Linked DNA regions of Nothobranchius furzeri. The protein of the gene in region 2 purifies or fractionates together with the protein of the main gene of each other region. This does not show direct contact. Links are inferred from orthologs where the notes say so. Each region holds a gene or a part of one and is shown on either strand. Other genes may lie near its edges. The genes, in order: lrwd1 and orc5.

Region 1 (4,288 bases), on a different chromosome or scaffold from region 2:
GCTCGCTCAGAGCCTCACAAACAACTCTAGTAAAGCGTTAGCTATCCGCTTTCATACACAGCTGTTGCTGTAAACCACGGAGGACTTGTTCTGATAAATCTGAGTGGATCAGAGGGGTTCATCAGTACCAGAGGAGCCTGACAGAGGCTGGAAAGCGCAGGCCCACAGCTGCGTGGAGAAGTCCCCGGAGCTGTCCTGTTTACTGTGACACTGGAGCACGTGGAGAGGCTTCAGATGCACCGGCTGCTGGAGGATCACACACAAGAGACGGATGAGAACGAACACAAACCCCTGTGGGTTGTTGTCTGACAAGATTGTGTCTTGTACGGAATAAACGACGACACTGGAATGTTTTTGTGGTTCTACAGCATCTAAAGGAGTCATCTGTGTGTTTCTTTACCTGACTCTTAGTACAAATCTTTATTATAGGCAGAGTGTACTGACTCCTGTGCAGCTGTTTGGTTTTGCTGACTTCTTTTTTCTGTTCAACCCGAACTTCTTCCTCTTCGAGTTGCTGTGATTTAGACCTCTTCCTGGGCGTCTCTGTCCTCGCCTGTCCTCTGGTGGGAGTGGAGACAGCCCCGTCTGTCCGGAGAGAGACCCTGCGGGACTTGCGAGGGCTGTCTTCAGCAGCTGAAGATTCTAGAGCGTTGACTCTCAACTTCTTGTGAGGCGTCAAAATTACTTTATCATCTGTCACCAGTTTGGTTCGTTTCCTCTTGGAAGGCGAGGAAATTATCTGAGAAAAGGAAGATAGAGTAAAATGTTTGACCCAGTTTGAACAGAAACAGCAAGAAGTTTTATTTAGAGACGCCATTTGTGCCAATGACAGTATTGTAACAGTGAAGTTTAAATAAAAGGTGCTGATTAGCAATCTTACACAGTTCTTTGTGGCCTCAGCAGACTCCTTGGGGATGAAGTCTTCTTTTGGTTGTGTCAGTGAGCGCAGATGCTCTTTAGCAAGAATCTCCACCTGAAAAATCAAAAGGAAGTAAAAACAAAACTGTTAAAAAGGGATGAAAATTAGCAAAAAAGTCCCAGAGATCCTTGTAAATTCAGGACTTGCCCTCCATTTGGTGAAATCGCTGACTGAACTGGGACCAAATTTGACTTGATGACGAGCAGCGTTCACAAAGTTCTTCTCCAGATCGGACATTTTGCCGGCCGTGATGGGATCTGGGAGACTGAAGCTCCGCTCCCAAACTGTGACTATCTGAAATCAAGCAGCAGCTGAGTGACCCAAGTGTGGGATATGATGAGAAAGTGCAGCAGCTGGGTCGTTTCCTTTTAAAATGCAACATTAGAGGTGTGATGCAATCGAGAGCCACAGCTTAACTCAAAGTCTAATGAATAATCATCATGAATGTTTTCAAACGAAAGTATTAAACGGTTTTCATACCCTGGTCCTCAGGTTGTCACTGAACACGTATCGTAAGTGGCTGGCAGTGGTGCTGACATCTTTGTTGTTGTAAATCCTCAGTTTGGGCAGCAACACCATCAGCTTGTAACTATCACTTATCTAAAAATAACAGAGTCAGGACTTGATCTCAGTTGTAAAAGAGAATTTTAAAGTTTGAGACAAAAATAAAGGAATATCTAACAAAAAGGAAAAGCTGCAGCGCTGCAGAGAACAAAAAGACGTGCTAATAAAACATCTAGACTTGTTGAAGTAGTTATCTGATGACAGCGTTAGAGGAAAACTTCCTTTTGGTTTGTTTTTTTCACCTCATGTGGATATTGTCGCGGTAAAATAGTCATGGGTGGAAAAACTGCATCACATGTAACAACCAGACTCCAAAAGATGCCACGGTAACGTTTTACGATTCTGTAAAGTTCTGAGATGAATTCAAAGACAGAAATTATACTTAAACCACTCATTTAAATAAGACCAATCGAATAGTTTGAATTTTAAAAAGGCAGCTCCGTCCTTTATGTTATAACAGAGACGGAACGGTACTGGATTACATGCGACAAAAACAGCCAAGTCCTCACTGTGATGTAAAAGTTGTCATCCATTTTTAGTTCCTCCAAGCTGCTCAGAGACTCTAAGGTGGTGACATCCTCCATCTGGTTGTTGGTGAGGTCCAGGTACCGAAGTGCAGGTAGCTTCAGGTTCTTTGGAAGCTCCTGCAGCCTGTTCCCGGATAGATCCCACCGCTCCAGGGACTGCAGGCGGGATAGCAGCTTCACAGGAAGATCCCCGTGCTTCAGCGCCATCTTAGACAGACTAAATAGAAGAAACCCGTCAAGTCAACATGGGGATTTTAGATCAAGCTTCATATCTGCAAGTAAAACTAATTTTACTATTAAATGCGATTAGTCATCAACTGATAAAAGAGTGACTTCACCAGAACACACAAATAGTTAATCAAGGGGGAAGACTTACTTCAGAGTTTTGATTTGCTCCAGTTTGTTGGTTTTTGGAGAACCTTTCTCCAGTAAAAGCTTCTCTGTTACATTCTCCATAGCTGATCTGCTGGAAAAGGACATCTAATGTGGAATCTATCAGCAAAATAACATGTTAAACTTTTATTCGCACTCACTGATTAAGTTGTATGGCCTGATAAGTTTAAATAATGTCTGTACTTAAAACGAGCTAAATATTTAGCATTTTTTCATTTAGTAAAGAGACGATGCCATTGCCAAGTGACATCTTTACTGAGAAAAATTTAATATAACCAAATCAACTTCATGCTTCAGCAAGGTAAAACTGAATCTGTTAGTTTGATTTCGATTGGTTTTACTTTAGCAGTAGCTAGCATAACCACGTTGACACGATCGATTAATCAACTCTTTGCTAGGTTAGTAGTTAGTAATATAACTGACTCTTTTTCTAGCCATAACAAATGAGCAAACACCTTTAATAATGTTTAATAAAGTATTTTTTATGTTACTTACCAACTCCTCTCTGCAACTTTTGTGTCTGCAACACAACTGACCTTTCCCGGGGAAACTCCGTCTACATCCGGTGGGCGTGGTTTACCTAAAACTTTGGCCACAGTTTACCCTGAACATTGGCTGTAAGACAAGTCAAACAAATACGACTTTCGATTATTATATTTCTTGTTTATCACATATATTACTAAGTATTGTCATATTTTGTTTTATTTGAAATTTTAATGCGCCAATAACAGTGCGGCAGAACGAAAATAGGGGTTAAAAGAAGTAATTTTACGCCTGCGGCTCCGTCCGCTAGATGGCAGTGGAGCTACGATTTCCAAGTAGAAGAAGATGCAACATGATGATGATGGTCTCTGACGACGGCGACGGGGTTATTCCATGCGCTTGTAAAGGCATCCGACGCTGTCTTGTCTGTGAAACGTTTAAGGCGAGTGTACTGCTTGAAACAAGAGAGTCAAAGGTACGTGTGTCGAACAAAAATCTCAGTTTTAATGTGCGATGTAACGTCTGTAAACCTTGGTACGGAAGCCCTCACTGGACAAATTGTGTTGTTTATCAAAAATCACTCTTGTTTGTTCTGACAATATTCTGGTACAATGTTGTAAATTTGATTTAAATAATGAGATACAACCCTGGTTTATTTAAATGTTGACGGCATGTATCTTTACTTATTGTGAAATGAAATTTTATAATTAAAACATGTCATCACAGCTTTTGTTTATTAATGTTATCTCTGTTTTTGGTATGAAGATTGTGCATCATTTCCTCTATAATGCCAAGACGGGGCTCGCTGTCAGCGAAGATGAAGAGGGCTCTTCCTTCCCTTTTTCTGGAGTCTTCCTGTGGGAGAACTTTATATCAGAGGAGGAGGAGAGGGAGCTGATTAGCGTAATGGACCAGGATGTGTGGCATCCCTCACAGTCTGGCCGAAGGAAACAGGTGGAAAACATTTAATGAAAATGTACTTTTTTGTGGGTTACATATTTTTAACATTCAAATTTTTCATTTTACACGGTTGCAGGACTTTGGCCCTAAAGTAAACTTCAAGAAGAGAAAAGTGCGCATCGCAGACTTTACTGGACTTCCTGCTTTAAGCCAAAAACTGGTGCTGCGGATGCAGCAAGATGCAAATCTTGCGGGCTTTCAACCAGTGGAGCAGTGCAATCTGGATTACGCTCCGGAGAGAGGCTCAGCCATTGATCCGCACCTGGATGACTCCTGGTTGTGGGGGGAGCGGCTGGTCACCATCAACATGTTATCAGAAACTGTGCTCACCATGTCTCTTGAGCAGGGTCTGCCAGAGTTGGGACTTTCAGAGGAAGTCCAGGTTGCTGTACGACTTCCTCGCAGGTGTTTAGTTGTGTTATACGGCGAGGCGAGGCATAGG
Region 2 (4,268 bases):
ATGTCCCCTTTAATTCTTACATCATTCTCCACATACCCATGATTCTACGTCTTAATTATCACTTCAAAATCCCATGTGGCAGCACTGCAACAGGATCACAGCTTGTACAGAAAAAAAACATCACTTGAGTCTATTTAAAATGCAGCAAGTGGTTGCCATCTTTCCTTCCTAACAGCATTATGAAAGAGCTCTCTACAAACAGCAGCTCAAGGACATTTCCTCACTAATAAAACTCTTCATCATCGGCGCAGTTTATCAACAACAAAGCGTTTTGGGTGATAAACACCACAAAGAGCGAGCTGTGTTTTCTCACCAGTTCCTGAAGACGAAGGAGGGCAGGAAGAAGATTGGCATCGGCGTCTCTTAGAAGTTCAGGCTTCTCCATAATCTGAAACATATCCACGTGTTTACTTTCGGTTTACAACATTTACACTCACTAAATAAAAGGTGTTTAAATGAAAAACACTTTCAGTCCAAATTCTACATCAAATTAACACTGTTTCTGGCACAGAAACGTCAGGTCAATACATCTGGAGCTTTGTTTACCACTTGCATTACAACAGATGGCATCATAAATAACACAGATGTGTCACTCACGATGTATCGCGTCTGCTCAGCAGGAAACTGGGAGGATTGTTGCCTGTAGATCCGCACAAAGTCAGACAAGGAGGGACTACGAGGGAGCAGCGAGGCAGCATCGCAGCCAAAGAAGGACAGTAGCACTTGTTCAAACAGCAACGCAACAGACACACATTCGACGCAGCTGACCGTGGCGTGAGGAAGCTGAGGAGGAGAAGGAGCAATGGTGAAGGTCAAAAAGTCATAAGATGGGTGAACATAAAAACTCCACTCTGTGTTAATTTTTAATCCGATTTAAAAAGTAATAAATTTCCCCACTGTGTGATTAATAAAGTCTATTTTATTCTAACATTTGATGAAAGAAATACAAATTAAATAAATAAAAAGTATGCTGGGGCCTTTATATAAAAACCTTGAATGAATGTATTTGTGATTCGGGTCTTTTCTGGACAAAAGAAGGCCCTGATGTACACTTTTTGTAGCCACCACTTTTATGTGAACGTTTGTAGAAGAAACACAAACTACTTTGAGTTCTTTATAATAAAACCCATATAAAAACCACTGGCAAGAAAGTAGCCATCCATAAACTACAAATTTTAATATTCTACACGATTTAAAAGGCTTTGTTTGCTTCTAGATATTTTGTTATTGTAATAGTACTCTGCAGTGGTCTGTTTAAAGGTTTACACAAGCTGAAAGAGTAAGGATCCAACTCTGAAATAAAACAAGCCCACATGTTCATCACTTGTCCTTCAACCATCTTTTTTTTCCAGAAAGGCGACTTATTGTGCTCAAACTCTGGATTTTATAATCAGCCCACATTTCATGAAGTAAAGCTAATAGACTTGTTAAATGTAAAATAAACTATTTCAAGCGGTTATTTCTTGTCATTCTCATGATGATGTAATACAGATCATGTCAAAGTGATGAATGGCCTGCATTTGTTTATTAGCGCCTTTCTGAGTTAGAGGACTCCAAAGTGCTTCAACCTACAGTCATTCACACACTGATGAGCTACACTGTAACCACAGCTAAACTGGGGCATTTTGACGGAGGCGAGGCTCCCTTACACAGGTGCCACAGGTCCCTCCAACCACTGACAGTCTGACACAATGGCCAACTCAACACAGCCTGGGATTGAACCAGTAAACCACCAGTTACAGAGTGAACTCCTAACCCCTAAGCCACCTTCACCCCTTCATAATGTTCTTATTTTATGGAGCATGAATTTGGGGTTTTTCTTATCTGTAACCTTTAATATTCCTAATTACAAGGAATAAACTATTTTAGTCTGTGTAATAAATAAATGGGTATCAATTTCTGAAATGAGGGACAAGCATAGAAATTTGCCATTTAATGAATTTTTTTTTGGAAAGGCACCCATAGACAATAAGTATCTCTCACCTCCAACTCTTCCATCAAAATATTTGTCACGTGACTTTTTCCTGAGGACCGATGGCCATAGATGAAGACTGAAGGGTAGCAGTACTGCTGTGGCTGGAAGAGCATAAAAATAGCATTTTTGTATCAATATTTTTTTGCATTTTAATGTATAAATTTCCCAAGGATTAAAATGTCATCATCTACTCACAACATTAGAAGCTTGTAACAATAGCTTTGTCACAAAAAAAAAAAAAAAAAAATAAGCTACTGCTGGCTCTTGATTATCCCACAGCTTCATATTTTTTAGATATTTTTTTAGATTCTCGTATAACTTTAGAATTACACCAAAATATATTTTGCTGCAGTTGCCCAAACATAATTTACATTAGGGAATTATGTCATCTTGATGCAGCTTTTATTTAGGTTTAGATGTCTGTAAACATATGAAGGTTTCTGGGTACCATTGTATTTTCTCAAGCAAACTTATATTATAAAAATGTGTAAATATGTACTGCAAAGAAAAATCATGCAATAAATTGAAAAAGCTCTACTGAGGACAGCCCGTTGTGCTCAAACAGCCAAATGACACCATCAAGATTATACAACTTGCATTGCACTAACACAAAAAGATTTGATGAGCATCTTCGGCAAGCTGTAATGTGCCTGCGAAACAAAGGTTTACAGACGTGAAACTCCAGTTTACCTGACAGAGAAAACACAATCAAACGCTGACAGTGAGAATGGAGACCAAGCCAACGATTCTTTTAAACCACCATTATAGTTCCTACCTGTCCCATGAGAGACAGCAGCATCCCAGCCTGGACTTCTCTACAAGGCAGCAGCTCTGAGACTCTTTTTAGCCTTTCTTCGTCGTATCCTGGTTGCTGTAACAGCCCCGTCATCCTTACCGTCCAACTCCCAAATATGCCCGCACGGTTTAATCGTCACGAGGCTTAGAATAATCTGTCTAAAACCGTGACAGTTAGCATAAAACTCGGCTTTTTGTAACTGAAAGTCCACCGACACGAGGCGGAAAAGACGAACACAGGCGGTAATTTGGGAGGAAAAAGTGCCAAAAAGAGAATTAACGTCGGGAAAGTACCGATAGAACAAGTTGGGGGTAAACTAACACCCTGAAAGAAACCAAGTAAGCAACTTTAAATGATGAGAAAATGCATTTTCTCTTAAGAGAACTGGATAAAACGTTAGCTGCATTTTCTCGCGCGCCTTCGAATTGCGTAGAAACGTGATCCTCTGTTACCCAATGAAAATAGAGCTCAGAACTCTGGGAAATGTAGTTTAAAGGTTAAACACAATTTAAATAGCATATTTTGGATTTGATGTGGTGATTTTAGGTTAGTATTTTAGTAATATAGGGATTTATCTACAATATGATCCAGAAATAATAGCATTGACTTAATCTACTACTTTTGTAACGAACATTTTAATACGTCACTGTTTTATATTGGTTGAAATAACAAACTCTGTCTAGTTCTTAAATTTAAATATTTGATTGTTTGTCAGTCTAGATAGCAAAAAAATCAGTTCATTTGGTAAAATTACTAATTTGCATGAATTAAGATTTGATGATTAAAAATGAAAACATTCCGAAAAATCATAATGATCACTGATCGCTTTGTGTTTTTATCTTTGTTCGTTTTAGTAGTAAAAATAAGTAATTTTTAGTCATGCAAAATCTCTAATTCATTGCCACTGAAGTCATGTTACCATATTTTCTGTACATTTTTCATTTTAAATCTTTGTGTTTGAAATTTCGCGCGAGCAACGTCAGAATGGGATTAAGGGATGTGGGTTGGCCCTGTACTATACACGGACATCTGCGGTTGTGCTCCTCAGACGGATCCGTGCAGGGAGATCTCACACATCCCCTGATAAGAAGCGGACTGCATTCCACTACATATGCGCGCAAATGGAGAATGAATCTGCAAATGGATTACCGGCGCTCGTATTTTCCCAGAGCCACGTTTCGATTCTGCAGGCTGATGAATGAAAATCGGAGCTCCAGAACAGAAATCAGGACCCGGCCTTGCCTCTATACAGTGCAGCTGATGCTGTGGACACGAGTGTAAGGAAAGAAAACACAACCGAACCAGAGGAAGTTCTGCTGATTACCAGATGAGGCAGGTGCCACTTTGATCCGCATCCTCCCCACACAGACCAGAGGAAATGGTCCCCGGGGCTCCCAGCGCGACCACCACCATGCTCCCTGCCTCCGAGGCTGCCAAAATCTACCAAACCAACTACGTCCGGAACTCCAGGGCCATCGGCGTCCTGTGGGCCATCTT

What was found.
Region 1: the proteins of orc5 (region 2) and lrwd1 purify together in Homo sapiens (affinity purification with mass spectrometry; 4 studies listed by BioGRID and IntAct, with this or other methods). This does not show direct contact. The link is inferred for Nothobranchius furzeri from reciprocal best matches to the Homo sapiens genes ORC5 and LRWD1.

The regions. Positions count from the first base shown.
Region 1 is NC_091750.1:30,550,428-30,554,715, forward strand, and holds the start of lrwd1 (leucine-rich repeat and WD repeat-containing protein 1), read right to left. Parts: upstream 2,971-4,288; 5' UTR 2,899-2,970; intron 2,503-2,898; 5' UTR 2,491-2,502; coding exon 2,387-2,490; intron 2,228-2,386; coding exon 1,993-2,227; intron 1,520-1,992; coding exon 1,400-1,519; intron 1,214-1,399; coding exon 1,067-1,213; intron 974-1,066; coding exon 881-973; intron 740-880; coding exon 401-739; intron 247-400; coding exon 129-246; intron 1-128. Other genes in the region: alkbh4 (alpha-ketoglutarate-dependent dioxygenase alkB homolog 4), read left to right, coding at 3,197-3,361, 3,652-3,840, 3,923-4,288. UniProt on the Homo sapiens protein: Required for G1/S transition. Recruits and stabilizes the origin recognition complex (ORC) onto chromatin during G1 to establish pre-replication complex (preRC) and to heterochromatic sites in post-replicated cells.
Region 2 is NC_091741.1:42,936,130-42,940,397, reverse strand, and holds the start of orc5 (origin recognition complex subunit 5), read right to left. Parts: upstream 3,002-4,268; 5' UTR 2,865-3,001; coding exon 2,751-2,864; intron 2,077-2,750; coding exon 1,984-2,076; intron 784-1,983; coding exon 598-783; intron 389-597; coding exon 314-388; intron 1-313. Other genes in the region: lhfpl3 (LHFPL tetraspan subfamily member 3 protein), read left to right, coding at 4,150-4,268. UniProt on the Homo sapiens protein: Component of the origin recognition complex (ORC) that binds origins of replication. DNA-binding is ATP-dependent. The specific DNA sequences that define origins of replication have not been identified yet.